Linked DNA regions of Diceros bicornis minor. The protein of the gene in region 3 interacts with the protein of the main gene of each other region in a pairwise test. Links are inferred from orthologs where the notes say so. Each region holds a gene or a part of one and is shown on either strand. Other genes may lie near its edges. The genes, in order: SH3GL1, DBNL, SH2D4A and CDR2.

What was found.
Region 1: the proteins of SH2D4A (region 3) and SH3GL1 interact in binary tests that used the Homo sapiens proteins (3 or more experiments, as listed by UniProt). The two-hybrid records come from large-scale screens. The link is inferred for Diceros bicornis minor from reciprocal best matches to the Homo sapiens genes SH2D4A and SH3GL1.
Region 2: the proteins of SH2D4A (region 3) and DBNL interact in binary tests that used the Homo sapiens proteins (3 or more experiments, as listed by UniProt). The two-hybrid records come from large-scale screens. The link is inferred for Diceros bicornis minor from reciprocal best matches to the Homo sapiens genes SH2D4A and DBNL.
Region 4: the proteins of SH2D4A (region 3) and CDR2 interact in binary tests that used the Homo sapiens proteins (3 or more experiments, as listed by UniProt). The two-hybrid records come from large-scale screens. The link is inferred for Diceros bicornis minor from reciprocal best matches to the Homo sapiens genes SH2D4A and CDR2.

Annotation. Positions count from the first base shown.
Region 1 is NW_026691553.1:3,317,753-3,325,145, forward strand, and holds the start of SH3GL1 (endophilin-A2), read right to left. Parts: upstream 3,008-7,393; 5' UTR 2,873-3,007; coding exon 2,828-2,872; intron 1-2,827. Other genes in the region: CHAF1A (chromatin assembly factor 1 subunit A), read left to right, coding at 5,563-5,614. UniProt on the Homo sapiens protein: Implicated in endocytosis. May recruit other proteins to membranes with high curvature.
Region 2 is NC_080780.1:1,146,052-1,153,769, reverse strand, and holds the start of DBNL (drebrin-like protein), read right to left. Parts: upstream 3,002-7,718; 5' UTR 2,944-3,001; coding exon 2,861-2,943; intron 1-2,860. UniProt on the Homo sapiens protein: Adapter protein that binds F-actin and DNM1, and thereby plays a role in receptor-mediated endocytosis.
Region 3 is NC_080768.1:40,644,880-40,652,153, forward strand, and holds the start of SH2D4A (SH2 domain-containing protein 4A), read right to left. Parts: upstream 3,020-7,274; 5' UTR 2,535-3,019; intron 1-2,534. UniProt on the Homo sapiens protein: Inhibits estrogen-induced cell proliferation by competing with PLCG for binding to ESR1, blocking the effect of estrogen on PLCG and repressing estrogen-induced proliferation. May play a role in T-cell development and function.
Region 4 is NC_080765.1:31,136,494-31,143,935, reverse strand, and holds the start of CDR2 (cerebellar degeneration-related protein 2), read left to right. Parts: upstream 1-4,432; 5' UTR 4,433-4,629; coding exon 4,630-4,708; intron 4,709-7,442.

The DNA.
Region 1 (7,393 bases), on a different chromosome or scaffold from region 3:
CATCTGTGTACACCTGGGTATGTGTGTTTTGAAAACTAGGAGAAGCAGGCAGCTACCACAAGAATGGCCCAGGAGAGATTTTTTCTTGTTGTTTTGTTTTGGTGTAATTAGCCTCACTTTTCTCAAACCTTAAAGCAGAGTTTCTCAACCTCGGAACTACTAGCACTGCGGGCCAGGTAATTTGTGGTTCTGGGGGGGCTGCCCTGTGCACTGAAGGATGCTGAGCAGTGCCCCTGGCTGCCACCCACTAGATACCAGTAGCAATCCACCAAGTTGTGACAAGCAAAATGTCTCCAGATACTGCCACTGTCACCTGGAGGGCAGAACTGGCCCTGGTTGAGAACTGCTGTTCTACAGGACAATAAAAGTCCCCAAGTCCTTTTGTGGGAAAAGGGGAGTGCATTGACGCTCAGGCCAGAGGAGAGACCAGTTGAGACCAACTGGTTTAAAGCACATTGCCTGTTCACATGGTGGAAACTCAACACATACTAATTATTAGTACATAACGAGATATGTTACTCTTGAACAGACGACTCTATTCCGAGGGCGCAGAAGAGGATGTAAGAGGTGTTCCTAAGAACGAGAAAAGAAACGCACACAGAGATGGACACGTCCAGATAAACAAAGGAGCTGCTGGATGCCCGTGGAAACTGTTGCAGAAGAGAAAGGAACACAGCCAGGGTGAGTCTTGAGAGAACTACTCAACACAAGAGTTGATGGGGAGGCCGAGACAACCGCTCTCAGAGAAGGATGTGGCCATCAGAGCAATTCTCTGGGGCTGGGCCTCAGAATGTGGAGATAAGAAATTGATCTGAACCACCAGCTTACACTGCGCTGTGCTTTCCAGGTTTCAAGGCGCTTTTCACAGATCTGAATGCGGGCCATCCTGGTTCCCCGAGAGAGAACACTCTGGCAGCTGGCCTGAGAGGCCCGGCTGGTTCCTTTAGCTGGGTGTGCCTGCTGGGGACGGTGTGGGCCACCAGCATGGGGCCTGATAGCTGGGGTGGGGAGGGGAGAGCTTCCGGAAACCCGTCTACAGGATGGTACAAGTGGTCCAGGAATTCTTCCAAGACCTACGGGGACATTGTTCCTGTGCAGGCCGGACTACACAGGGGCCAAGACAGTGAGCAGCACCAAGGCACTCCAGCCAACCACGTGGGGGTCTGAAGCCTGCTGGGCAGAGGCTAACCCAGGGCCAGATCACTGAATTCCATCCTGCTGGGGCAAAGGGCTGTACCCTCAGCAACAATCCTAAATGCCTCTGGATTACGTCCCTCTTCCTTCAGGGTTTAGCCACCATCTGGGGTCTAGATATAGACCCAAATATCTTTAGCCCTAGACAACCAAGAGGGTCGTTACTTTTTCCCTTAAGGGCCGAAGGGCATCAGCTGTGTGTTGCTGGGGACTTACTTCTCTTCCCTCCCACTGGATCGCTCCAAATTGTGGGTAGAGTTTGGCTTGTCAACACGGCCCAAAGAACTCCGAAAATCATCGCTCGTTCCTCCGTGGAGTGTATCCACACAAACTCCACACCTACAGTTCTTAACCTGGGATGCAGGGACCAACAGGGTTCAAGGAATCTGGGGCTTCTGGGATCTGAAATTATAAACCGAATTTTGCATCTGCCTGGTTTTCTGGAGAGTGGAGCCATAGCGTTCGCCAGATTCATGAGCCACTGGGCCCGAATCTTCCAAAACACCTATACTCTCTGTCACACATAAAATGCAGATATTCTTGGATTCAGCATTCCACTTCTGGGAATTTCTCTTATAAATCCAATCCCACCTGTGAGCAAAGATATTCACTGCAGTGTTGTTTGTAGCAGAAAACTGCTGGAAACAACTTAAACATCCATTGATGGACCGGTTAAATACATTATGATACACATCCATCGATAAACCAACTAGGTAAATAAATTATGATACACTTGGTGAAATGTAATACCACGTACTCATTAAAAAGATCCCAGAAGCTCTAGGAGCATGCTTTAGTCCAGTAGTTCCGGGGGAGGGGGCGGGGGGAGGGAGGGGGTTCCCCCAGGGAAATCTGGCAGCCACTGAGACATTTGTGGGTGTCACGGCTAAGGGTGCTCCCAGCATCGAGCGGGTGGGGGCCAGAGATGCTGCTCAACCCCCCACAGTGCCCAGGACGTCCCCCCACAGAGAATGACCCCAGGTGGAGAATTCCAGCTCTACTGTGATCTCCAAGACACATTTAACGAAAAACACAAAGTCCACAGGACGGTGTCGACTCTGCTACCACTATATGTGTGTTTTTAAAGGAGAGGTGTACACGTATCCTTAAAAAGAGACCTAAGTCGCGGGTGACAGTCCTGATCGTGGGGAGAGGAACTGGAGTGGGAAACTGACTTTTCACTCTAACCTTTCAACTTTGCACCGGGTCCATCGAAAGGGTATTTTTTGCCTTTTGTTTTAAAGAACTGCTTTAGACACAAATGTTCCCTTCCTCTGCGCTCTCTGGCAAGAGTTCTGTGTCGACAGCCTCGGGACTGTTCTTCCCCTTCTCTCCCTCCCTACCCCTGCCCTGTTAGAGGGGAGGAAAGGAGGAGAGGGATCACCGCCCTGGGTCACCCCCTGGGTGCATCTCTGCTCCTCCCAGGGGTCTGCCCACCCCTCCCGAGGAGGCTGGAGCACACAGGGCGGCCAGGGCCCGAGCCACCTCGCCCGCAGCCCCTGCCCCTCCTGGGCTCTCCCCACCCCGCGGGGGACACGTGCCAACGCAGCCCCCTCGGCCGCCTCCCGAGCCAGGGCCGGGCCTGGCCCCCCACTCCGGGCCGCCCGGGGCCCCCGCCTCGGCCTCCGCTCACCTGGCTCGCCTTGTAGAACTGCTTCTTCAGCCCCGCCACCGACATGCTGCCTCCCGCCGTCGGGCCTCCCGCCCGGACCCCGCGAAGCGGAGGGACCGCTCAAGCGACAGGCTTCCGGGCGCCGCCAACCCCCCGCGCGCCTCCGCGGCCACGGTCAGCGCCGCCTCCTCCGCCCTCTCGCCAGCTCCGCGCCCGCCCCGGCGCCGCCTCAGCCTCTCGCGCGCCCGCGCGGCCAGGATATTACATGGCAACTGCACACTTCCGGTGCCGGCCCGCGCGCGCCCCGGCCCCGTCTGCGCACGCGCGCCCCCTGCCGGCCGGAGAGCGCACGCGCACTTCGCCTGCCGTCGGGAGCGGGGAGGGGGGCCGCCCCCGCCAGCGAGTGGACCGGGCGAGCCTAGAGGGGCTGTGGCGGCTGCATCGACCTCTGGAGTCCCGGAGGTGGCCCCAACGTGTTAGGAAAGGCGCTTAAACCTTTCTGGAGAGGTTGGGAGGCTGTGCTTACAAGTCTCCAGACACCTGTCTGCTAATCTCAGCTGTACCCAATTCCTCTATGCTACTTTTTTCTTTAGTCCCTCCCACCTACCGGCAACCCCGCCCCGTGTTCATCCATTCAGTTTCCCAAGTCAGACATCAGGGCGTCGCTTCTACCTCCTTTCCACTGCCTCCATTGCCCTCCCTGCCCTAAGCAGACCATTCCACCAGCCTCCTCTCTGGTGTGCCCACCTTTAGATTCTCCCCTCCGATTCACCCCCTACAAGGCAGCCAGAAGGATGCTTCTATAACAATTCAGATCACATTAGTCTCCTGTTTTTAAAGTCCACCTACTGCCCTCAGAATACACTCCCAACTTCCTAACACAGCCTACAAACTTTGCATAACTTGGCCTTGTCAACCCTTCTGACTTTGGCTCTCTTCATCTTCCATAATCCGTGATCCCTGAGCCTATGGGCCTTTGCTAACGTTGTTCTTCTCTTGCACAGTCTTCCCCAATCTTTCGCTCCATCCTTTGCACATAAAATAGGACTCTGCTTGGAATATCACCCCCTCTAGGAAGACTTCCCAGATTGATGCATGCTTACCGATCTTGATTTTTTAATCAATTGTTATTGTATTGAATGAATTGGAAATTAACAATGAATTGGAATGAGTATGTGAACCCAAAAAGAGGAACAAGAAAGTGACTAGAGCTAAGGGGCTTGCAACTTCAGTGCTGAAATCTCTGACATTTGGGTGATTGTCTGAAGCGGAAGTTTGCTGGAAGTTTCCAAATGCCTCAACAGAAGGTCCTGGACTAGATCAGAGGATTGTTTCGGCATATGCATGCCCTAGCCTCCCTCTCAAAGATCCTGATGGGGCCATTACAAATAGTTTGAAAAAACTCTCCATGTGATTCTGATGGTCACTGGTCTAAACCATTGCAGAACGCCAGAATGTCAGAGAAGGGAGGGAAAACACCTCATGGTTCGTACGGGGAAACTGAGGCCTTGAGTAAGACGTGACTTGCACAAAGTCTTGCCCACATTCCCTATTTCTTCACATTACTTCCAACCAATTCTACTGATTTAACTATCTGATCTATACAATCAATAGAATTCTAAACTTGGGCTAAATTTCGGTCTTCTCACTTCTGCTCTGCTGGATTAAATTGCTGCTGGAGAAAACCTACTCTGAAGGTCTCTGTTCTGTGTGAGCCTTTTAACCTATATGATCACAAAGTCCAATCAAATGATATTTATGCAATCACTCAAATATTTATTGTCACCTACTAATGTATCAGTCACTGACAGGTCTCAGGGATACAGTGATGAATGACTCCTGCCCTCATGGAGCTAATGACAAAAACAGAAATTACGGCATGAATCAAATAACACGGTAATAAATAAACATAAGCTGTAATTTCTTCGAGAAAAAGAGCAGCGTTGTAGGAACTTCATTTTGTTGGGGGTAATGGAGGAAAGGTTTCTCCGAGGTCTAACTTTAAGATCTGAAAGTTAGGTAGAAATTAGCCAAAGAAAAGAGCTTCGGAAAGAGTTTTCCAGGCAAGGAAACAGTGTATAAAAATCCTGAGGATTAAATCGGAAACATTCATTTCATTCATTCCCCCTGAATATATTTACCGCATGTCAAATACTTCTGAAGCGATGCCTAGAGTTTATTTGTATTGTCATATAAAAGCAATTTACAATTTTAATTGCTGTTGGTGTATTCAGCCGACGTCCAATTAGGATAAACTCAAAACTTCAGGCTTCCTCTAAATCGCAGCTTCAGGTTGTCACCCGTCGCCCTACGTAAAACGTCTCGTCATGACGTAAGAGCCTGACCCGCCCTCTTCCTACCGACCTATCCCACGCGCTCAGCCAATCACAGTGCCGAGCTCTCAGCTTGACACCTCCCTCCCCCAATCGCAGGGCGCCTCCTCTTCGCCAATGACAGGCAGCCAAGAGGAAGCCCCGTCCCTCCGCGGGAATATCAATAGGGGAGCCACGGGAGGAATGGAAGCCTCGGCTCTCGCGAGGATGCTCCCGGAGCTCCCCAGTTCCCGAGGCGGGCCGTCACGTGATGCGGCCTCGCCCAATCGGCGCGCGGGCTGCGGGGGTCGCCGCGGTTCCCGCCAAATACGAGCGCGGCGGCCGCGGCAGCAGCGGTGCGGGCGGGAGGGCGAGCAGCAGCGGCCGCCTGAGCGGAGCCTGCGCCTCCGCCGCCTGAGGGGAGCTCGAGCCGCCGCCGGAGAGATGCTGGAGGAGCCGGAGTGCGGGGCGCCGGGCGCCAGGGCAGCGGCGGCAGGTCGGTTCGGGCCCGCGGTGAGGGGAAGGGGGGGCGCGGCGCGCGGCCTCTGCGGGCCGAGGCGGCGGTTGGGGGCGGACGGGCCGAGGCGGCGGTTGAGGGCGGACGGGCCTCCCGGCCCCGGGCCCGCGCCACCGCGCCGGGCGTTCGGGCCGTGGGGCCGTGCAATCCCGGGGAAGGGCCTTGCGACCCGGAGGGCGCGCTCCTTGACGTTATTGTTGTGGCCGCGACCATTTCTTTCCGGCGCTTTTGCGGCAGTACGTCCTTGCAGGGCCCTGTGCGGTGACGGGTCGGTGGGGGCTGGGAGGGGAAACTGAGGCCCGAGGAGGCGAAGGGGCCGGCTTGGCAGGTAACCGAGTGCGTTTGGGTCCCCTGAGCAAGTTGGGCCCCGCAGCGACCCTCTGGCCGGGTGGGGAAACTGAGGCCCGGGCTCACACGGGCCCGGGGACCCAAGGGCTGGGTCTGCGGGTCAGGGCAGGCCGAGGGAAGAGGCTGGGTGGGGGGATCGTCAGGGAGCCGGGACTCCCGGGTTCTTGATCCTCCCGGTATGCAAGGTGACCTGTCCTCCTCCCTGTGGCTTGGGAGGGGGCTTCCTAGCAGCCAGCAGGCCCCGACAACGTGGGAGGCGAACCAAGGACGGCCCGACTACCCCTCTCCCCTGCTTGACTCCCATTTTGTCCCCAGCCCTTGGCACAATGCTTGGCACACAGTAGGTGGCCGAAAAAGATGTGTTGGTGGAATGAATTAAGGGGTGGCAGGGACATCAATTAGTCTAGTCCAGGGGTTCTCACCCTCAGCACTGTTGACATTTGGGGCCGTCCTGCGCACTGTAGGGTGGCCTGGAGCAGCATACCTGGCCTCCATCCATTAGATCCCCCTAGCAACCCCTCTTGCCCAGTTGTGACAACCCAAAGGTCCAGGCATTGCCAAGGGGCCCCTGGGAGGCAGAGTCACCCGCTAGTTGAGAACCACTGCTCTAATTGTTTCCAGATTTGGGGATTTCACAGAGACTTAAAATTCACGTAAATAAAGTCGGGACTGATTGTCAGAGACAGTCATTTGACCCAGTGAGGATGTTTAATTAATTTATTTTTTTTATTTTATTTATTTTCTTTTACCCCCAAAGCCCCAGTAGATAGTTGGATGTCATAGTTGCACATCCCTCTAGTTGCTGTATGGGACGCGGCCTCAGCATGGCCAAGCGGTGCATCGGTGCGCGCCCGGGATCCGAACCCAGGGCCGCCAGCAGTGGAGCGTGGGCACTTAACCGCTAAGCCATGGGGCTGGCCCCAGAATGTTTTTTTTTTTTTTTTAAAGATTTTATTTATTTATTTTTTCCCCCCAAAGCCCCAGTAGATAGTTGTATGTCATAGCTGCACATCCCTCTAGTTGCTGTATGTGGGACGCGGCCTCAGGATGGACGGAGAAGTGGTGCCTCCGTGCGCGCCCGGGATCCGAACCCGGGCCACGAGCATCGGAGCGCGCACACTTAACCACCAAGCCACGGGGCCGGCCCAGAATGTTTAATTTAAAAAGCACCACTTGCTATGAACATACTATCATGAAAGGGAAGAATGTTTTAAAGCCAAAGAAAAATTAGGAGGGAGGTATCTCAGAATTAAGGGCAGTGGTAAGTTTATACACCAGTGATTGTTAATTGTATGTGTACTTCTGAACAGTCTGGATCCCTCGGTGAAGTCCCTTTTTATGTCGACCCGAGGCTGTTTCTGGGCCTAGGTTACTTCTCTCCCACTTGCATCAAAGCTAGTGTTTCAGCGC
Region 2 (7,718 bases), on a different chromosome or scaffold from region 3:
TCCAAAAACACATACTGAGAACATGCTGCTTGCTAGTCATGGGAATAATGCTATGAAGAATCCCTACGAGGCCCTGCCCGTGGAACTCTCTATCGGGACACAAAAAGAAATACACAAATCAACACTAACACACTGTCAGATAGTGCAGTGGGTGCAGGAGGGGAACAACCCTGCCATGATCTAGGGGAAGAATAACCTGGGGGAACCAAGAGAAAGACTCAAGATGGAGACCTGATGCTGTGGCTGCTCCCCACCCCACCTGGCTTCAGGCCTAGCCCAATACCACCCACTCTGCACGTGAGACCTTGTACCATCCACCCAACCAGAGACCACTTCTTCTTGCTCTCATACCGTATACCACTTTTTCTGTACCCCTCTCAGTCCATCCTTCACCTGAGCAACTACTGCACTGGGGATAGACACAGGGCATATCCCATCCCTTCCGGTGAAGAGAGAAAGGAGACAGGAACACCAATGAGGAGTCTGGCATGTGTCCAGAGGAAGTAAAACAGGGAGATGGGAAGATGTGACTGCAGCCAAGCAGCTAGGAAGCGAGGAAGGCCTCTCCAAGAAGGCAACCTCGGAGTTGAGAAGTAAAGTTTGGGGAGCCCCCAGGATGATGCGGAAGGGCACTCCAGGGAGAGGAAGCAGCAAGAGCAAGGGCTCTGAGGAACCAGCTGGCAAGTTTGAGGAAGAGAAAGGCGGTTAGAGAGGTGGAAACAGGTGTGGCCACAGTGTGGTAAACAGGAGGGGTGGCAGGCCAGGAGACCAGCAGCTGGGCCATGCAGGGCCTGTCAGCCACAGAGAGGAGTCCAGGCTGTATTTAATGTGCAACAGGAAGCCACTGCAGAGTTTAATAAGCAGGGAAGTGACACGGTTTAGATATTTTTTCAGCTAGTGAGTGGGGACCTGCCACACAGTATCTGGTGAGATACTTAACGGCTGTGACAATGAGGGCAGAGGCCAGGGGTTCATGCTGCTGAGTGGTATGACCCAAAATGGTTCTGGAGCCTGGGTGAGAGTGACGAGGCTGGTGAGATGGGTGGGCTCTGACTGGGTGAGAGGAAAGAGGCTCAGCACCCTTGTGGGAGACAGAGTCCTGGGTGGTAGCAGAGAGCTGTTAAGAAGCCCAAGGACAGGCTGGAAACATGAGAGGCCTGCAGAGGGAAGCCTGAACTGCCAGCTGGGCTGCGGGACATCATCCCCAAACCAGTGATGTTTCCTGAAAAGACTGAGGATGAAGACAGACCTGGAGGGAAGACCCCTTAAGAGGCCCAGAAAGGGCTACACCAGATGATTAAGCACACATAAAGGAGCAGACCCCTAACTGGGCAGGACTGGGAAGGCACAAAGATGCTTCCAGGCTCCAAAGTCACGTGCCCTCACATGGATGTGAAAATGGGACACTCAGTGTGGAGAGACTTTCAACAGGGTTTGGAGTAACAGCAGAGGCCGAAGGGCCCTCTGAGATGGGAGAGAGACAGGGTGGAGGGCTGACACCCAGAACTTTCCTTAGAGAAATAACAGTGCTTGACGTGTCGGTGAATTTCTGAGGGGCTGCAAAGAAGAGAAGGCAGAGAATCCCTACCAGTTACCAGACACCCATCCCTAATTAGAACAGAAGCGTTCCAAACAGAGGATGTGCTGCTTGGATCCTACGCAAAACTGTGGACAAGTGCCACGCAGGGGGCCCACACCCACTTGGCCCCAGAGACGAGACGAGTCTGCAGATTCTGCAGACCTAGGCAGCTGGTGTTCTGAAACTCTTCCCCAAAAGGCCAAGGGCTGAAGGAAAGGGAAGGCCACAGCGTCCTCAGTGTCACAATAGTATGTTGTATGAAAGCGACTCTGTGCTGGGCACCAGAGAAAGCAGATGAGAAAGCAGCAGCACTTGACAAGTGGAGATGAGCCAGTCACGTCAGCACAGCCACCCACAACAGGCCCCGCGCCAAGCAATGGGAACAGGCTCCCCAAAGCTGGTCACCTTAGTTCATCACACTCAGCACATTTCTTAGAACTGGAAGTGCTCACAACTGATCAGTGAAAGCCATTGAAGCAAACGGGAAAGTGACACAGAATTACCTTGCATAGCTACCAGTGCTTGCCCAACAAAGAGTTGACCCTGCATGTGGGCTGCCCAGGGCTACCCTAGAGACTTCAGATCCAGGCTTCCAGTACTATAAAGCTCCATCCACTGCATGAACCTAACCACTGACAGCCTGGCGGAGGTTGTCACGGGAGGTGGAGGGAGGATGGGACCTTCCTAAAGACAAGTAGCCAGCATCCTTGTTTCATCCATCTCCCCACAGCTCAGGCACGGGAAGGAGTATTCTTCTTTGAGAAAGGGAGGTTTCTGAAACCCACACTCACAGAGAACTAGAAATCAAACCCTTGACCTCGTCTGACGCCTCCAGGGCAAGGCTCCTATTCCCAGCCGGACTGCCAGACCGCTCTGCGAGGCCCATTCCTCAACACAGAGTTTGAAAGAAGCCAGGCCTGGCTTCTGCTTTCTCACGGAGGGCTGTGGAGGGCCCCTTCGTCCAGGGAAGTCCCCGGGCAGGAAAGGAGAACCTGGGAAGCCACCAACCAGAGCCAGGCACAGAACCCAACATGGAGGCCCGAGGAGCCGAGACCCGACGCCAGCGGAGGGGGAGGGGCTGGGGACTCACTGGGCCCCCAAGACGGGGTTAACCCGCCCACGCACGGCGGGGCACTGGCTGACCAGGGCGGGGAGAGCACCTCCCGGGGGTGGCACAGGTGTGGGGCAAACAGGTGAGCCCCGGTCCACCTGCGGCCGCGCGGCTCCGCAACCCCTGGTTCTCCCGCCCCTGGCCCGCTCCCGGCCCGCCTCGGCGCCCACCAGTTGGTCGGGGACTTCTCGGTGACCACCCGCACGTAGGCCTCTTGCAGCGCAGGCCCGTTTCGGCTCAGGTTTGCAGCCATGGCCAGCACCGAGATCCCCTTGCCCCTGCTGCAGCTTCCGGGCCCGGCCCGCCCCCGACGACCGGAAGCCCCGCCCACCATACGGCCGGAAGCGGAAGCGGCGTGGGCGAGGCCAGGGTGAGTGGGCGTCTCCCGGCTGGGCGTCGCAAGAGCGGGGCGGGGCGGTGTGGCGGCCTGCAAAAGCCTCTGGACCGGAGGAAGGGGGCAGGGTACGTCCCTTTGCGCGTCCCCGGTGCTCCACCCCGCCCAGGCGTTCGTTCGCCTTGTGGGCCTGGCCGAGGCACTCAACCGAGCTTTCTGATAGCTGCTCTCAGGGAGCACCGTGCGTTTCTGTCCTAACTCTTGCCGCGATTAATGCACTTATTTAAGAATTTGAGATTCATGACAGTCTCCCTCCAAACGGAATTCCCGGAGCGTCTGTGTGGACCCTCAACAGAAGTTTGATCTGTGAATGAAGCATGCATGAATCAATGAGTACGCGAAGTAAAGTGAACACTAAGTGACACCACACCGCCACAAACCTAACTCAAAGTGCTGTTGTGCTTCCTCGACCTCACCTGCATTTCCCCCGCTGGTTTGGTTGAGGACAGGGTAGCGGAGGAAAGTGAAGAAGCTGCCCGCTGCTCATCCTGATTCTCTCCAGGCCCTGGCCGACTGAGGGAAGGGGCCCACAATGCTTCAATCCACTCCCTTCCTGCAGGGAGCACCAGTTCCTTCCATGCACAAATGTGCCTGTCGTGACTGACCTACCTGGAGGGAAAGAGGGAAATATGCCAGGGCCCAAGGCAGCTGGAAGCTTCCCTTCTTACCCCAAAGAACTCCCCACCTCCCTAAAATACAGATCCAACAGTCCCATAGTCCCTTAGATGTGCTTTTGAATTCAGAGTTTTTCAGATTTCAGAAAAGTAATATTGATCCCAAGCAGCATCTGGTATCAAACACGTTCATATTTGTGCAGTGATGTCTGTGAACAATTGGCTAATTGGGTTATAGAAAGACTGTTAATGGCCTCGTGGCAGTTCAGGTCAGGTTTGGCTGCCAAATGAGTTACCAAAATCATTTATGTCGGTTTTTATTTCTGTTTACATCATTGTTGTTTATTTTACAGGCAGAAGCTCTGACATCTCTCTGATGGGCAGAGCGGTTACCTTGTCCCAGTCTGGGGAAATTGTAGGTCCTGGCCAAACACTCCTTCCTTTCAGCAGCTCCGGTCTGCCGCCTCCCTCCCTCCCCAAGTCCATCCTGGGTCTTCTCTTCTACGACGTGCAGGTGTACCCATTTCTACATTTTGACTTCACTACTGTGTTTGCATCAGAAAAATGAACTCTAGTAGTGCGGACCTCCCAGCTCTCCCAATTTCTAGTCTTTTTTTTCTTCAGTGACATCTCTGCTGTCCTTGTTTTTCTTTCAGACCTGACCCTCAGGTGACTTTCTGCTCCACCCTAGTCCCTCCCACCCTTTGCATTCCAGGGAGAGTTCAGCCCCCAGTCTATGGTTCTTCTGCCTTCTTCTCTTTGGCCCCATGTGTCTTTGTTTTCTCTCTTATCTCTGGGAATGTTCCTGTTAAACACCTCCTAGTAACCAGTTTCCTTCATCCACTTGGCTGCCAGTCCCCAGCCTGGGGTCCCTGGACTCCTAGGAGGTCTGGCAGCACTTTTCAACATTTTAGTCAACTTAGGGAGACCCCCCCTTGCCTGAATCAAGCTGTGCAGGCCAAAGAGGCAGGTCTCTTTGTTTTGGAAATAGATCAGCTCATTGTGGTGACCAGGTTCATCCACACTAATGAGGGAAAATCAGGGAGATCCAGGCTCCATTGAAAGAAAGCTGAGGGGGGGTCCCTGGTGTGGGAATGTGAGGGTGCCAGGATTCCACTTCCTGCTCTAGGGTGTGGGAACCTATTTCACCTCAACAGGCCAGGGAAGGCTCTCTGAGGAGGTAACACTTGAGCAGAGACTGGATATAGGAGCAGGGGGGTGAGAGTGTGTGGCTATGGAAGGTCTGGGCAGAAGTGTTCCAGGCAGAGGGAACGAGATGTGTCGGGGCTCTGAGGTGGGAGCCAGCCTAATGGGCTTGAGGGTGGAGCACAGGGAGAAGGAGAAGGAAGGAGACGTGGGGTGGAGGCTGGATCCCGTAGGACCCTGTGGGTCAGGGGAAGGACTTTGGGTTTTGTTCTAGGTGTAACCAAATCTCTGGCGTGCTGTAAAGAGAGAGGATGTGATCTGGAGATGTTTTAAAAAGGTCCCTCTGGCTGGCTGCTGTGTGTAAACCATTTCCATATCCGTCTCCTTCCCACTCCTGCTTTCTTGTGTTCCTGTTTCCTTTTGGCTCTCTCTCTTTTTTTTTTGTAAGGAAGATTAGCCATGAGCGAACATCGTGCCCATCTTCCTCTATTTTATGTGGGATGCCTGCCACAGCATGGCTTGATAAGCAGTGCATAGATCCGTGCCTGGGAACTGAAACTGCAAACCCCGGATCGCCGAAGCGGAGCGCGCAAACTTAACCACTACGCCAGCGGGCCAGCCCCAAGCTCTCTCTTTTTGGTTGGCTGTTCCTCAGTTTGAGAACGTGAGATGTCTCCAGAGGTCATTCCTGGGACTCCTCTCTCCTCCTGAACTAACTTCTCTGCTATTTGCACAAGCGTCTATACCTTTCTTGCATGTGGATAAACTCAGATCTGCTTTACTTCTTGATGCTCTCCTGGTGGGTTAGATGACAGATCCAAGGCACAGAACCAGAGCCCAGAATGGTCAGTGTCCTCCACACTGAGGGCAGTTGGCCATGTCCTCAAGACACCCGAGTCCAAGTGTGGAGGGAGGATCTTGCTGGCAGACTCCCTCTGGAGCCCACCGTCTAGAAGGAACCAACAGCATTATGAAAAAGAACTGTCAGAGAAGCACAGCAAGACCAGTGTCTCACTCTGTTCAGGCTGCTATGACAAATACCACAGCCTGGGAGGCTTGTAAACCACAGACACTTATTTCTCACAGTGCTGGAGGCTGAAAGTCCACCATCAGGGCACCAGTAGATTCAGTGTCTGGTGAGGACCTGCTTCCTCACCCGCGGCCATCTTCTTGCTATGTCTTCATGTGGTGGAAAGGGCAAGGTACCTCTCTGGGGTCTCTTTTATAAGCGCACTAATGCCATTCATGAAGGTTCCACCCTCATGACCTAATCATCTTCCAAAGACCCCCACCCCCTAATATCATCACCTTGGGGGTTAAGATTTCAACATAGGAATTTTGGGGGACATAATCATTCAGACCATAGCAATCAGTAAGAAAGAATAGCTGTTTATTCAGTCTTCATCAACAGAAATGTCAATTAGCAAGAAAATGATTTTCTTAAAAGCCACTAGGATTACATCTCTCCACTTCAGCCACACGTGGTCACGTTACTACAGAGTTAGAGAAATGGAATCATTACTTTTCCTGCCCTAAAAGAAAACTTCTTTATGCTGCATGGTAAGAGGAATACTGTAAACAAATACTTCACATCTTGAGAGATTAAAAAAAAACCTTCCGGGGCTCGCCCGGTGGCGCAAGTGGTTAAGTGCGCGCGCTCCGCTGCGGCGGCCCGGGGTTCGCCGGTTGGGATCTGGGGCGCACACCGACGCACCGCTTGTCAAGCCATGCTGTGGTGGCGTCCCATATTAAATAGAGGAAGATGGGCATCGATGTTAGCCCAGGGCCAGTCTTCCTCAGCAAAAAGAGGAGGATTGGCAGATGTTAGCTCAGGGCCGATCTTCCTCACAAAACAAACAAACAAACAAACAAAAAACCTTCCTAGTTGAGGCCCTCTTATGATTTGAACAGAGAGTAAGCAGTCAATGGCAGGCAGGTGGAAGGGCTGCAGTTCTGACCCTGAGGGTCCCAGGCCCTCAGGTGGAGAGTGGCCTCATGACTGCTTGTCATAAGGCTTGGCTCTGAGGGGCAGCCACAAGTCAGTGCAAGGTGGCTCACAGGAAGGGCAAAGCCTCCTCCTTCAGGAGGAGGAGTGTTCTTTCCTGCCACCTTAACCGTTTACAAAGGCCACAGAGAGGGCGCGCTTGCCACTCACAGAGCTCTTGTGAGGGTCTCTGGCTTCTCAGGTCTTGCCTGAAGCCTCAACCCTGGAGACCTGAAGACATGCATGCCTCAGCCAAGCTCCCCGCTGTAGAGGGGTGCACCCACAGCAAAGAGCCAGCAGAAACCCCACAAGGCTCAAAAGGAACAGAAGACACAGGTGATGGGGATTTTGCAGTTTCACTACAACTTTGCTGACATTTTCACCCAAAGACGTTGACAGATTCTCAGTCCCTCCTGTTACAGGGTGAAGGCCTACCGAGCCTGCCCTGCTGGGCATTTGACGCTGAATGCAGAAAGGGCCAGCTTCTTCCACAAGGGCGGCCAGCCTTATACTCCTTGCCTTGGCCGCAGACCAGCCTGTGCCTCCAGCTCCATCCTTCTTTCTGGAGCTGGCAGATAATTTTTCCCCTTGAGCACTGCTGGCCTTCTTGGGCCCTGGCCAGGCCATTATTGCTCCTGAGAACAAACTCTGAGGCAAGGCTGGGCCCAGGCCTAACGGCACTTCTTTCCTTTCTTCACATGGATTGAGGGGTAGAGGCAGCTTCGCGCCTGTGTCCGTGCTACTGAAAGGTCCCTGGTCCAACGACAGCGCTTGTTCCCTGGGGGTTTAGGGTGTGAGATGGTCTCACGCATCAGCTTACATGAATTGTGCCAGCTTCTTAATATGAAAATTCGTATTCGTTCCACCACTCCTCCACCCTCAACGATGCT
Region 3 (7,274 bases):
CCTGCCAGTGCCAAAGCTCATTCCTCCCCTCACCCCACCCAGAGTACTCTCGATACAAGAGTGACGTGACTGTGCTGCCACTACCCTAGCACTTGACGTGCAGTCACTCATTTAACCTTCACAATAATCCTTCAAGTTCAGTCCCCATCACCCCATTTTACAGATGAAGATGACGGCAAGTGGCAGAGCTGGGCAGTCTGGCTCTAAGTTGGCTCTAGTGTACTCCACCAGGACAGTGGAGTTTCTTTGTGAGCCCAGAATCAGAACACCATCAGGATGAGGTACCATATGTGAAATTTCGGAATGAAAACCAGCAAATTCTTGCAGCGACAGACATGCTGAACCGACGGAGAGCCTCCCAGGGGTAGAAGCCTCATCCCGGGGATTGCAGATAAGCTTAGGGGAGGCCAAAATTGAAAAGGCCCCACCTCAGGAAGGACAGCAGGGAACTTACTGTCCTGCTGGCCCAGGTGTGGACGCTGTCTGCCCACTGGATTCACTGGGCACTCATCTCCCCAGCTGCCCCTCACACACGACCCCCCGGGACAGCACCAACGGCCCAGCCTCTCACAATGGGAAGAGCTCCACAGCCCCTGTGAGGAGATGCTCAAGCTCCTCCACGGGTTTAATTCTGTTTTGTTTTGCCCTTTGTGGCAAACACGGATTTTCAGCGTCAAAGTTAACTAGAGGATCTTAAAAGACACTGGCTTTCCTGTGTCCTCAGAGATTACTTGGGGACCCAGCTAACAACCATCTTGTGGTCAGGATGCTGAATAATACGCATGCCACTCTAAGGCTGCTGATTCCCACTGGTGTGAATGAACTCTTTCCTCCGTATGCTTTCAGACAGAAACTCAAACACAGCCCAGGGCACTCCCAGGACAGCCAGCAGGGACCCCAGCCTGGGCTCCTAGTTCTGTCTCTCATGAGCTGTGTAACTTCACGCTGTCACTTCTCTGGACTCAGTTTCCTCATCTGTGAAGGAGGGCCTGAACTGTGAATCTTTGTAATTTGAGGACTATACCATAAAATCCAACCAGAAGTTACAAAGACAAGTGGAGCCAGCATCAAGGAAATGGACATAAGGAAATTAACTAAGCAGGATTCTTCCCACTTTCACTCCAGGCAGGACAATCATTGCTGATTCAAACTCAATGACTTGGCCCTGTGTAACATATTGAGTGCAGCAAACTTCCAGTTTTTCAAGATCCAGTAAAAAAAGAGAAGCTTGGCTAACTTGGTTTTCTTCTTGTACAGCACTTTTCTTAAAAGAGAGAAATGACAAGCAACAAGCCTACATCTGCTGGTTATTCCAAAAATAAATCTCTAAAGGATCATAGGATCAGTTGTTTTCCAAGATACCTATAGATTTGGCCTGACTCTCACAATTTCCACTGCCCTGTTCTATGAAAGAATAATTGTGTTTTTAATGACTCTGAGACCTAAAAAAAAAAGCCTGAAATACAGCCTAAATCATTAAAATACTGTAATACGGACAGTATAACTTTAATGTTAAGAATATAGTTTGAATTCTAATTCTTTTAAAACAGCCCAGCTCCGTTTTCAGACTTTGTTACCTTATTCGACTTTACCTTATTAATCTCTCTGCAAAGGGGCTATTTTTGAGGATAAAAAGGAATTACTAGAGGTGACACCACACTTGGTAAGTTTTGTAAATGTACACCATTCCTCAAAAATTGGAAATTACTGTACCCACAGATTTATCCAGAAAATTCTAGTCATGCCAACTCTGCCCACATATGCTTTCCACTTATTCACTTTAAAAAAATAATTGTATCCAAGTCGTTATTGCCAGTAAACAGGCAATCAAATAAGTCTTTTAGGAGGTGAGGAGACTCTAAGTTTAGAAAGAGAGAGGCGCCACGCTGGCTTCTTCCCTCGGACCCTCGGGGAGGGAAGGACGACCCCGAGAAAACCTGCGAGGGGGACTCGTCCCTGCGCCTCCGCGCCCACCGCCTTCGGCGCCCCTGGGCTGAGGGCCGAGCCCGGCGCGCCCTGACTCCAGCGGCGCCCGCCCGCCGCAGGCCCTGCCCCGGCGCCCCCGGACCGGCGCCCCCGGACCGGCGCGGGGACTCGCCTGCACGGTCGCGGCGAGGAGCTCCCCGGCGCTCCGCGGGACGGCGGGCCGCGCTCCTCCCGGCGCCGGAACTCCGGCCCAGACCCTCCCGCGGCCGCCCCGCGCCCCCGGCGCCCCGCGTGGCGCGCGGCACACCCCCTCCGGGACGCGGCGCGCCTCCCAGGGCCCCGCGCCCGCCCCCGCCGCCCCCGCCCCGCGAGCTCAGCCCCGGCCCTCGGCGCCGCCTCTCCCCCGCGCCGGCTCCGGACACCCGACACCCGACGCCGGCCGCCCGCCCGCCCAGCCCCACACCTGAGCCCGCGGCCGGAGGGGCCGTGGGGGGTGCGTGCCGGCCGCGCCCGGGCTTCCCGCCCCGCGCCTCTCCCCCCAGAACACCCCCCACACGCGGGCTGCCCCGCCTCCGCCGTCCGGCCTCCCGTCCCCGCCCGGCACCTACCTGTGCGCGGCGCCGGCCCGCCTAGCAGGGCGCCGAGCCCCGCACGTCCGGCTGGGCCGCCGGGAGCGGCCGGGGAGGGGAAGGCAGAGGCGCCCGCGGGCGGCCCAGGCCGGCTGCACAAACACTCGGCCGGGCTGTGGGCAAACGCGTCCCCAGCCCCCGCCCGCCCGCGCCGCCCCACCGCGCCCACGTGCCGGGGACTGACTGGGTCGCGGCCCCGCCCGCGCCGGAGGCGCTCCCGGGCCCGTCGCCCGCCAGGCCGCAGACGCGGTGCTCCGGACGGCAAGGCCACCGGCCCCAGTTGCATCTGTGACGGCCTGTCGCGCCATCTCGGGTCCTGCGTCACTTATCAACATCGGCGGCCGGCCCCTTCCCGCTCCGAAGCCGGGGTTTCGAGCGAGGTGGAGCCTGCGGCGGCGGGCAGGTCTCAGTTACACCGAGTCCCGCAGGTCAAGTCGGCTCAGCTCTCAGGTTGTGCTCCTGCGTCTCTGGAGCTTACTTTTTTTTTTCTTTTGTTGACATTAAGTCAACTCAAACTCGGGGGCACTTGTCAGTACAGGTGTGGCTTTGTAGGACAGGATCAAGGAGGAGAAAGGCTGGAATGATGGAGACTGAAAACAAGAGACAGGGAGAGAAAAATGAAAGAAGTCTGGAAAAAGGCAAGAAGGTAAAGGAATCTTGTGAATTGTAGCAGGAACAGGTCGAGGGGTGCATGAAGGGAGGAGCTGACTGAAGACAGGAAAAGGAAATCCTGGAGGGAAGTCCAGCAGTAGCGGAGTAGACAGGTTGCAGGGCGTTTTCCATTGAGGGGGAACATTCAGAATGTGTAGAGAAAAACGGCCTGCTTTAGTGAACCACAGACTGGTGTTGGGGAGAGGAGTAATAAACAGTGAGCGTTCATTGTCCTTCTCTACAGCCTCCCTGATAAATTCAGGAGCTGACTTGCTCTGTTGGGAAATGAAACTTTCTCATTCCTAGCCTCTCCAGACTGCAGAAGAAACTCAAAGTTAGAAAGAGCCTTGGAGCAGAGATCAGTCCTTGAGAGACCTAACTATTTGGGAACCACCCTAGAGATCCTATCAGGGGAGGATTTCTGGCTTAGCTTTGGTTCCCACTGCTTTTTAAATAAATGGCATGTGGGGTGCTTTTGGCTGGAGTGTCGTTCGCCCCTGGTTAGCTGCTGTGGCCAGCTCAAAATGAATCCTAAAACTTGATGGATTGAACAGTTGAAGAACTATAAAGGGTCCTTCATCAGCCAGTAAAAATTCCACAGGACACTGGTAACAGCCACTTACCTTCCTCCACACTCAACCTATCTCTATGTCCTAACAAGTCCTTCTTTATAACAGCGATCCCACTTTGCTACTAAGCTCTCTATCCTTCAGTTTCCCCCTCTGGATAACAGCAGTGCCTACCTGATTAAGTTGTTCTGGGGGTTAAGTGAGATAATACATGTAAAGTGCTTAGAACAGCTCCTGGATGTGGTAAGTGTTCAAACACATTACCTCATAATATTTCACAAAACATACTGTAGTTTCAAGTTACCACCTCACACCCAGGCTATGAATTTTGCCTCCTGTGGTACCTGGACTCCCAAGTTAGCCTCAATGATCCCCATCTCCTACTATGTCACTTCTGAGATTAGGTTATAAAGGATCTTGTAGCTTGTCTTAGGTGTGTATCTCCCTCTCTTGGATCATTCCCTCTGAGGGAAGCCAACGGCTCTGTCATGAGCAACCCTATGGAGAGGCCCCGAGGACAGAACTGAGCACTCCTGCCAACAGCCACAGAATGAACTTGGAAGTGGACCCTCCAGCCCCACTCAGGGGTGCAGCGTTGGTCTACAGCATCATTGCAAATTCATGAGGCCACCTGGCTGAGCCACTCTCAAATTCCTGACCCACAACTGGAAGTGAGTAAATTTGTGTTATATTAAGCCACTGTTTGGGGAAATTTGTTACACAGTTGTAGATAACTGATATACCTCCACACTGGTCTTGTTTCTAAGCCAGTTTTAGCTAGCTTTCATATGCAGGAAATTTCATGTATTGGATAGCTTATTTAAACATGGATCCGGGGTCTCACCTCAGAGCAAAGCAGTAGAATATCTTCCTTTTGAACAAGCACTCCAAATGATTGGATCCAAGAGGGGTTATAGATTGTGCTTTCAGCAACTCTGCTCCAGGCTCTCCAGGTCAGACGTTTCTGAATGCAGTTGTCAAATTCATCTTTTTAAACGTTAACTCTGATCCTTCATTTACTTGCTAAAAGATCTTTGATGCTCACCCCTCCTTTTTGTCCAAGGTAAGACTAAACCTCTTGCCAACTTTCAAGGACCAGGACAATCTAACACTAATCTCCCTCAGCTTTATCATCTTCCTAATACAATCCTCTGTTCAGATAATCTGGCATTTTCCAGGCCCTAAACCTACACAGGCTCTGGGGCTCCACACTGGCCTCTGTCTAAAATGTCTTGACCCACAACTTGGCTTATGAAAATCCCACCTAGTCTTCAAGCATCAGTCTTTAGGAACCTTTTCCTGCCTATCCTCCCCCCAGCTGGAAACAGTCCTGGCCTCTTCCATGTTCAGAGCACTTGTATCACAGGTTAGCACTTAACACATCCAAGAACCATCTAATGAACACCCGCTAGGTGCCAGGCTGTGTGGTGACAGAGGGGGGCGGGGGGGGCGGGTGACAAAGAGCAGACAGCCAGGGCCCCTGCTGCCGTCTTCTATGCAGCACTGCCTTGTATAGTAGCTGTGTGTATATTTTCTGCCTCTTTGCGATTGTAAACGTCTTGACAGCAAGACTAGTCATGTGCGGAGCACGTTAGCTGAATGGATGTTAACAGCCCAAATGAACACAGCCTGTACCCAAGTAGTGCAATCATTCCCTCAGCTTGGGGCCCAGTATCTCTTCCCTTTTCTCTCCTTGTCTCCTGTCCGTCGTCTTGTCGTGTGCCTCTTTCCTGGATATGTAAATCTCTCTCTCCTCCTCCTCCTCTTTCTGTGGTTCTTTCTCCATCCTCTTCACTTTGTCTCTCCTCTCCTCTTCCACCTTTCTTTTTTGTTCCCTCTCTCCTGTCTCCCAGTATTTCCTCTTTCAGTTGGCATAATCTGGGGAAGAAAAAGTATATATTTTTCCTTAATTTCAAAAGTAGACAATTAGAACGTTTTATATTGCTCTAAAAAACACCAGTTGCCTCCGTTACTTACTTATGAGGCCCTCAATTACTTTCCCTCCTTTTGGGCCAGTGCTTTCAGAAGAAAGCATTTCTCCACTCCATGATCCAGGATGCATTGTGGAGAAGATTGCTGCTTTCATATGCTAGCAACACTCCAAATGGAAGGTCAGGTCTGGGCAACCAGGCCTTGGCAGGGGACGGGAGCTGGGCATCTACCGCTGGCAAGTCAGAGACATGTACAATAGGTGTCACCAGAACATGTGTTCAGGGCTGCCCTGATGCCCATCCAGGGCCAGTGTTCCAAGAGAAAAGCTAACTAGCTATTTACTATTAATATCTAACAGTAATAATAGTAAATTAGTAAATTAACTAATTTTTTAAATTTGTCGTTTATTTGTAGTAATGGACACCACAAAACAAATAGACTACATTTTAAGGGACATGTTCGCTGATATTCCTTTTAGAATGTTGCTTAAGAACGGTGCTGCCCAGGGCTGTCATGTGCAGCCATGGCACTGCACAACTGGAGGTGCACCAGGCAGAGATCACAGAGTGTAAGGCACCCCCGGGAGCTATGTACACAGCAGCTGATTGCTACCAGAAAGTCTAACAAGCCACTTTTCACTTTTCATAAGTAAAGGTCAATTTGTGTTTAAATTCTCCAGAAAATGAAAGTTACCTTCAGACTTTTTCTTTATAAAAGAAAATAGGATAAACACCAATAATATTTTTCCTGTCATATTTTATAGTCAGCATCAGAAACCCCAACCACTTTTTTAATTCTTAAAGAAGTTCTACGTTTGTTCCATAGTGAATGAAGTAGATGTGAAAGAAAAGGACTAAAACATTTCAGCTTTACTAAAAATTGATCAAATCTCAAAATAAATTTCTGTCAAGTTATTAATCATAGAAAAATGTATTGAAGATCTATTACGTTTTGGTTTTCTGCCAACAGTTAGATTTGATTTTGAACTATTTTCATGCCTTTATGACTCTATGTGGGCTTTCATTTTTTCATCTTCATAAATATCAAGATAAATTATTGGTCTTTACATGAATCTTTGAATTAATTAGACTATAATTTTTGATGTTTTCCCCTGAATTACCTTTATGGAATTGTTTCCTCAAAATCCGTGCTCTGGGTTGCTGATAAGACATTCCTCCTTTCCTGTGTTTCTGTAATGCAGCGGGAAGCAGCCTGTGGCCCAAAGGAACTGTTGACTTGAGGCTTGTGGGTGGAATTGGACATCCCCTGCCCCAAGTGGTGTGGGACGTCTGTGAAGAGGCTGTGGTAACCAGAGCTTTACGGTCAAGCCCTTGCTAGTATTCTGGCATTCCTCGGATCTTCCCAGGCAGCTTTCAGCAGGGCTCCCAATGCTAATAAAACCAAAGTCTCATCTCTTCCTTGGACCAGATTCAGAATCAGGTTTTGATTTCCTAACTTCTCTCTTATGTGCTATCTTTGTAAAAAGTACACAAATCCATTTTGGTTTTATAAGGGTTTACTGCTAGTGAGCACAGAAGTAATTCTGAAGCACATATTAAAATAACCT
Region 4 (7,442 bases), on a different chromosome or scaffold from region 3:
ATCTCTTTTAACTTACAAAAGTGCGATTTATCCAAGAGTTTGGACATGCTTAACTACGGGCCAGGGAGATGTGTTTATGGCATTGTTATCCTCCCTACTTGGAAGAGTGCAACAGAAAAGGAACAACAAGGTGATATCCTTTAGCTAAAGTCACAGAGAAGGAATGAAGTGAGCCCTTCATCTTAGCATAAAGTTGTCCACTCAGTAGTACAGGTTTGCACTGGATGATTTAGTCTTGATCCTCTCCTGACAGACTATGTAACTTTGGCCCCAAAAACATACCTAAGATAGATCTGGAAATAACACATTCTGGTCCTTGCTCTGATGTAGATGTCCCTCTTAAATCTGGCCTATTGTCTTACTCTTTCAGTGACTTGATTTCCCCAACTGAAAACAGGGAAAGGTTAACCAAGCAAGAGGTAGGTATAGATCATCTTCCTTTTAATCTTGACTATGGTTTTAACATAACACCATGATTTTCCTGTTTCATCCCTGCCTTACTGGAATATTTGTCCAGGTCTCCACAATTTTACTGAATCAGAAAACAGACAAATATTCAGATAACTGGAGAGATGTTACTTGCTTAAATAATTCTTGGGAATTAAGCAGGTACCTCAGTCTGTATTACCCAATTTCTTAGGGAAGGAGAGGGCAAGTTAGAAGTGGGGGAGGGAGCATTTGGCTCAAATGATCAAATTACCTAAGTCCCTGAGTTTCACTTTGCATCTAGTAGATACATGATTCTAATTCTATGGAAAGTAGGACCCTGGAATTATCAAAAGCAGTTATTAAACACATAGGCAGATCAAGCATTGTCTGTCGACGGAATAAAGAATATTTTGCCCATCCGTGTACTAGTATTCTCAAAATGTTTGTAGATTCTGCTTAATGATAAAATATAAATCTGAATTTTTTTTTTTTGTCACTACGCAGCACTCAAACACTTGAGGAATACAAGTACTATTACGTAGAGGCCAGCCAACATTTTTGGCTTTAAAGGTAATTCTCAGATTTGAACAAGCTGGGAATGACTGGTGAAGCCCTCATTCTAGGGAGTTCCTTTTGCCATAAGAAGCAAGATAGAGGCTAAAGGTCACTGGGATTCTAAGAGGGCCCAAAACAAGGGAGTCAGTAGAACCAAAAGCCAAGGTACAAATTTAGCCCACCAAAATCTACTCACTCTTCTTTTTCTTAGTTTTATTTCAGGCATGCTAAAACAAGAAGGATGCCATACCTTCTGAACTGATCTATCATTAAGTCAGAAGGCAGGTATTTATAAACTTAGAATTTTACAAAGAGTCATAAACTCGCTGAGCTGAGCTCAATTGTTTTTAACCCCTGGGAAAGGTTCACCATGAGCTAACATCTGTTGTCAATCTTCCTCTTTTTCTTTTTTTTCCTCCCCAAAGCCCCAGTACATAGTTGTATATTCTAGTTGTAAGTCCTTCTAGTTCTTCTGTGTGAGCCACTGCCACAGCATGGCTACTGACAGATGAGTGGTGTGGTTCCGCACCTGGGAACCCAACACAGGCTGCCAAAGCTGAGCCCACCCAGCTTTAACCACCAAGCCATTAGGGCTGGCTCTCACTGAGTCGAGCTCAAATTTCTAAAAAGAATTTGAGTTAAGCACCCAGCCTGTCTGAAACATGTGAATATAAGGTTTTAATAACATTATGAAAAACTCTATAGCCTGAACTTCTCTTTGTGTATGTATACTCAGAGGAGGAAGTAAAATCTTCCTTATTTCCATCTGCGAAGGGAACTATCAATATTTTGCTTTAGATTATTTTCATCATAGTAATACTTATTTCAATAAGTATCAAACTGAAAATCAACAACTACAATTTTTTCAAAGCCACCACCACTATCTAAAAACTCTCCTGGGGCTGGCCCGGTGGTTTAGCGATTAAGCTCGTGCACTCCACTACTGGTGGCCCAGGGTTCGGATCCCGGGCGCGCACCGACACACCACTTCTCCTGCCATGCTGAGGCCGCATCCCACATACAGCCACTAGGAGGATGTGCAACTATGACATACAACTATCTACTGGGGCTTTGGGGGAAAAAAAGGAGGAGGATTGGCAATAGATGTTAGCTCAGAGCTGGTCTTCCTCAGCAAAAAAAAAGAGGAGGATTAGCACAGATGTTAGCTCAGGGCTGATCTTCCTCACAAAAAATAAATAAATAAATAAATAAATAAATAAATAAATAAATAAAACTCTCCTTACCTGATTTTACTATGGCAACAAAACACAAAAGATCGAGAACATTATATCTTTACAAGCAGGGGCAAAGGACTTCTGAAACTGGTTCTTCTTTATCACAAAATGTTTTATACAGAAGAGTTTGAAACTAGCAAAATGGTGTCGTGGTTAGGCTGGGCAGGTTCACTAAACACCAGTGAATTATTAAATGAAAAACAGGAAACCCTCCTTTTAGAATCAACTTGGGTTGTTATTCATTAACCTACTACTAAACCAAATAATACCAATGTTGCTGAAGAAGCTGTTTATGATTGCTTCTAAGGTATGACTAAGACTCTCAAAGAATGATCAAGACCTCTCCAAAGCAGGGCTTCTAGCACTGAAAGCTAACATGTCTTTTTCAACGCAATTTTTGTTCAAGATTTTTCCAGGGAAAAAAAAAGCTTCCCCAAATAGTGTCCTTAAAAAGAACCCACTAACAACAATAGGCTTAAAGCCTGTTTTGTTTTGTTTTTTGACATTTTAAACTATCAATAACTTTAATTCTCCAGATCTTTCTCTCTCTCTCTTTTTTTTTTTTTTTTTGAGAATGTTAACGTTTCAATACACTTTCCCATCTGATTTGGAATCAAAATGAGCTATTTAACATCCTTATAACTATGGCATCAGAAAAGAGTACATATTTTTATATATATAATTAAATGAGCTATTTGCCATGGAGAAAAAAGCCAGCACTTTCAATCTTGCGGATCAGCAACTATGGAAGATGAAGTCTCTTAAAGGTCAGATGCATGATTCTAACCCTTCATCTTCCACAAATCGACATCAACAAATCCTAAATCCCATCATTTCTCCTTCCAAACAGCTCTATCTGTAGTGACTTATTTTTAAATTAAGACAGTTGGTTTTAAGTTGTTTTTTCTTTTGGCTCTGGACTAATATCTCTACCTGAATATTGACAACTAGGGCAGTAGAGGCTTTATAGGGGACCTAGCTTTCTTCTTTTTTAACCTAGCAATAAAATGTAGATCAGTAACATTTTGTCTTTTAGTATACCTGGATTCGGAAGAAAGGGATTCTTGAGTTTACCATTCCTCTTTCATTATGATTATTACTTTCTAACACCTTTATTCCTTCTACATTTCTTGGCTGGCATTCTACTATAAAAGAGAGCACTGCTGTCTTCTATTAGCTGTACCTTTACCTTTACATCAAGGTTGAGAACACTGACGTTGTGGTTTGTCACTATTTAAGAGTTTCCCGGCTTTGTCTGCATGATGATGGTAAAAGCTGCAACCCACGAACAGTGGTTACCGTCATGTCTGTGGGGAGAAGCGTTCACTGCTCTGCCGGCCATCAAGGGCTAGCGCTGCGTTCATTCTCTTCTCTACAGGTGCAACGTCACGACCTACATGCTTAACTTGTAGTCTACGAGTCTTTTAGATATCGCACGCAAAAATGCTCGCAATTTTTCTTCTAAGGAGATAGGTTCAACTGCATCCCTTCCCGCCCCCAGATTCTCAAGTACGTCTGGGGCCAGCCGTTTTACAGCGAACGAGTACAATTTCCCAGAGAATTGGAGGTGAGGGCTCAGATGTCAAGGAGCAAACTGCTAACAGCCCTGAACTCCCACCGACTGTTCATCTCCCCGCATCAACGACATCAAATCTGGGAGTCAGAAGACCCGAAGGGGCAGGCGGGGCAGCGGACATCGGGCTCCCGGCACCCTTCGCGCCTCCTGGCTGCACGAAGGACACCTCACGACAACGTCCCACTGCTCCGAGGCCGGACTCCAGCCCCTCAGGCCCACGCAACCTGTCTACTGGCTGGGCGGCCCCACACCCACACCCACTACAGGCGTTGCAGAAGCCGCCACCTCCACAACCCAGCGACACCAACGCACTCCCAGAAGCGTCCCAACGCAGGAGAGGGCGGGGGCTTCGGCCGCACCCCTTCGCCTTTTCCCCGCCTTCTTTGTTTCTTCCAGATCCGCCATTGGCTGCTTGTCCCCGAGGCCGGGCGAACCCGCGGGCCTGCATTGACACGCGATTGGGCGACGTCGCTGCCCCTCGACCAGCAGCCCGCTCTCGATTGGTCGAGGCGCCGCCGGGGGTTTGAATCGCAGCCCCGGCCGGGGAGGGTCCTGCCGAAGTGCCACGTTGGGCCCGGCTGCGGCGTGAGGAGCCGGCTCGGGGCGCTAGCCGCGGCGCTCGCGCCATTGGGGCGGGTGGGTGGCGCGAGGCGAGTCGGGAAGCCGGTCCGCGGCGTGCGGCTCTGGTCGGGCGGCGCGGGGGAGCTCGGGCGGCGGCGCGTCCCACCCGAGGGCGCTCTGGCTGAGGAGGGAGGGACAGGCGGAGCGCCCGGGACAGCGGCTGAGGCGGGACGGCGGCGGCGGGGGCCGCTGCCCCCGGAAGAGCCGGCCGAGATGCTGGCGGAAAACCTGGTGGAGGAGTTTGAGATGAAGGAGGACGAGCCGTGGTACGACCACCAGGACCTCCAGCAAGGTGAGGGCGCAGTCGCCCCGCAGACGACGGGCGGGCGGGCGGCCTGGCTGGGGAGGCTCCTCCTGGGCGCGAAACTGGTAAAAAGTTGCGTTTGCTCGAGGCCGAGAGGTGCCAGGTGCCGGGAGAGTCTGGCGCTCACCTGGCGTTGGGACCGGCCGCGCCCGCCCATCCCGCGGGAGAGAAGCCTCTGCGCGGGGCCGGGGCCCGGGCTTGTGCTCGGTGATCCCCATCATCGCTGCTGCGCGCGGATCGCTGGCTGCGCCAGGCACTGTCTGGAGCGCCTTCCCCGGCTTCGCTGATCTAACCCTTACTGCCTTCCTCGGAGGCAGAGCTGCGGGACCCTGACCAGGCTCGGCCCGCGGCCTCTCTGCCGCTGGGAGTCGTCCCACCCCGCGCCGGGTGGGAGCGGCTGCAGGTGGCGGGGGAAGCTGTCCCGTGTGGCACGTGCCCAACCCTTTGCACACACGCAGTCCGCACAACAGCTCTGTTGGTGAGAGAGTAACTTTTAGTATCCCCATTTTCCAGATGAGGAAAGCGGAGGCTAAAACGGCTAAGTGACTTCCCTCGAGTTAAGTGTGGGAGCGAGTATTTTTGAACCCACACACTCAGAATGAGGAGTGCCCAAATCCTGTGTCTTTTTTACCATCCGGTTTACAGCTTCTTCAGTTGGATGTTAGACTCTTAAAAAAAAAAATTGCTTAGGCTTAGTTTAGATGCCAAATAAAATGACTTGAGGACACTTCTACCTCTACCACCTCCTTCAGTTTGCACTCCAGCTTTTTTATTTAAACACAAGCATTTGGATCTTGGCCTGCCTTGGATTTCTTGATGATGCTGTGTCTCCAGAGAAAAACGTTAGAGCAGCCCTCTTTTTTTTTTTTTTTTTTTTCATATTAATAGCAGGAACTTGCAGTTGGGGAACGCTTTTTATGTGCCAAACACTGACAGGCCTTTACAACAGGTGCTCACTTAATGCTCCCAACAACTAGGGAGGTGGAAGTAGATACTGTTATCGGGGAACTAGGATTCCACTTCAGACTCCAGCGCCAACTTTCTGAACCACTATACTGAACACTGAATAATCCTCAGGAATTTCTCCAGGCATCTTCTGTTTCTGCAATTCTGTGTAAATCAATTTTTTCAGCTCCAAACTTGCTCTGAAACTTAACATTTCATTTAGTTGAGTAGTAAATGACCATGATGTTTGTTCAGGCTAACCATTGAACTTAGGGGGAAGGGGTGCGGAAAAAGAATGTAGGCTTGAATGACTCATGTTCAGAAAAGGAAGATAAACACCTCTTTTGGGAGAAGATGATTTCTAAATCCATATGCTATGGACAGTCACTGAAACCAAAGTTGTTCACCCTTACGCTTATATAGTCGAAGTTATTTCGCGGCCGCAGTGCAGTATTTGCCATCATGTTCTCTGCGAGACAGATTTGTCTTACATTTAATAAACCTGTTTTCAGAATTCCCCATAAGGATTGATGGCCTAGTTTGATACTTTCTCCAGGGTTAATGGAGCAGCCACTGTGCAGTTGCAGCATTTGCCTGTAATAAATTAAGCAGTTTGTATAATCAAAGCTAAATGTTTTTCTTTCCTGCATTTGAGAGGCGTGGGTCCATACAGGCTCATTGTTTTGAATCTAGCAAAATACTTAACACATCGTAGAAGCTCAGTTTTAATATCTGTTGAACTGAGGCACTCACACAGGCTTACTGTTTTCGTGGCTCTCTTCCATCGGATACCTTCGTCCACGCTGCACTTTCCCCCGTGGGAGGTTGTTAGAAACAACCATTTGTAATATTTCAGTCTACTTAGAAGCAAATGCAACGTGGTGGGGTTACGTGCGGAACTCTTTAACCTCTGATGAAAATGAAGTCATCAGGTGTTCAAGCTTATTGAAGCCATAAAGAGCACACGTCCAAACCTCCTTAATGTTAATTTGCTTTTGGAATTTGTTCCCTGCTTTTCAAAAGACTTTTACGTCCATTATCACAATGGACTTTGACATAACCTGTATGTCATAACCAAGTGTATGGGGTAAGAAGAGATGTGAAATTCCAACAATCATAACTTGTGAATATAGCCTGTAGAAGAATGAAGGCTGCAGTGTGAATAAAAGGATATCTTTGTCCGAATTTTGTTAAACTATATGTTAAAGAACTCCTAAACTTCTAATGGATTTAAAATTTTGTTAATTTCTCAAAAATTTATTATCTACTCTATGCCAGGTATTCTTGTAGGCACTGGGGCCACAGTGCCTATCCACGAGATAGGATAGGTAGGGTCCTACTCATGGAGTTGACGGTCTAGGAAGCTGTTGGCTAGAGAAGCCTGGAGATGCTGCCTCCTGGTATGTGCCCACTACAGTGCCTGGCACATGGTAGGCCCTCAGTAGGTATTTCCTGCTGAATAAAGTTTAGGAGCAGGTCTGCCCTGTTAAACAGATTGATAAGCAAATCTAGCTGGATTTTATCAAGTGCAGGCATCTGTTCATTTTTTAACATCCTCACTGTTAATTTACTGAGCGAGCCCTATTTGGAGAGAGGTGCTAGAACAACTTTTTAAGATCTTGTTCTCAAAGTCATAGCACTACAAAATTTTTTCCTTTTGCAATAGAAGCGTTATTTAAGTAGATTGAGTCTTTGTATCAAAGCTTGCTGGGGCATTCGTTTTAAATTAAAATTGCTGAAAAATTCTAACCTCGGGCCAGCCCAGTGCATACTGGTT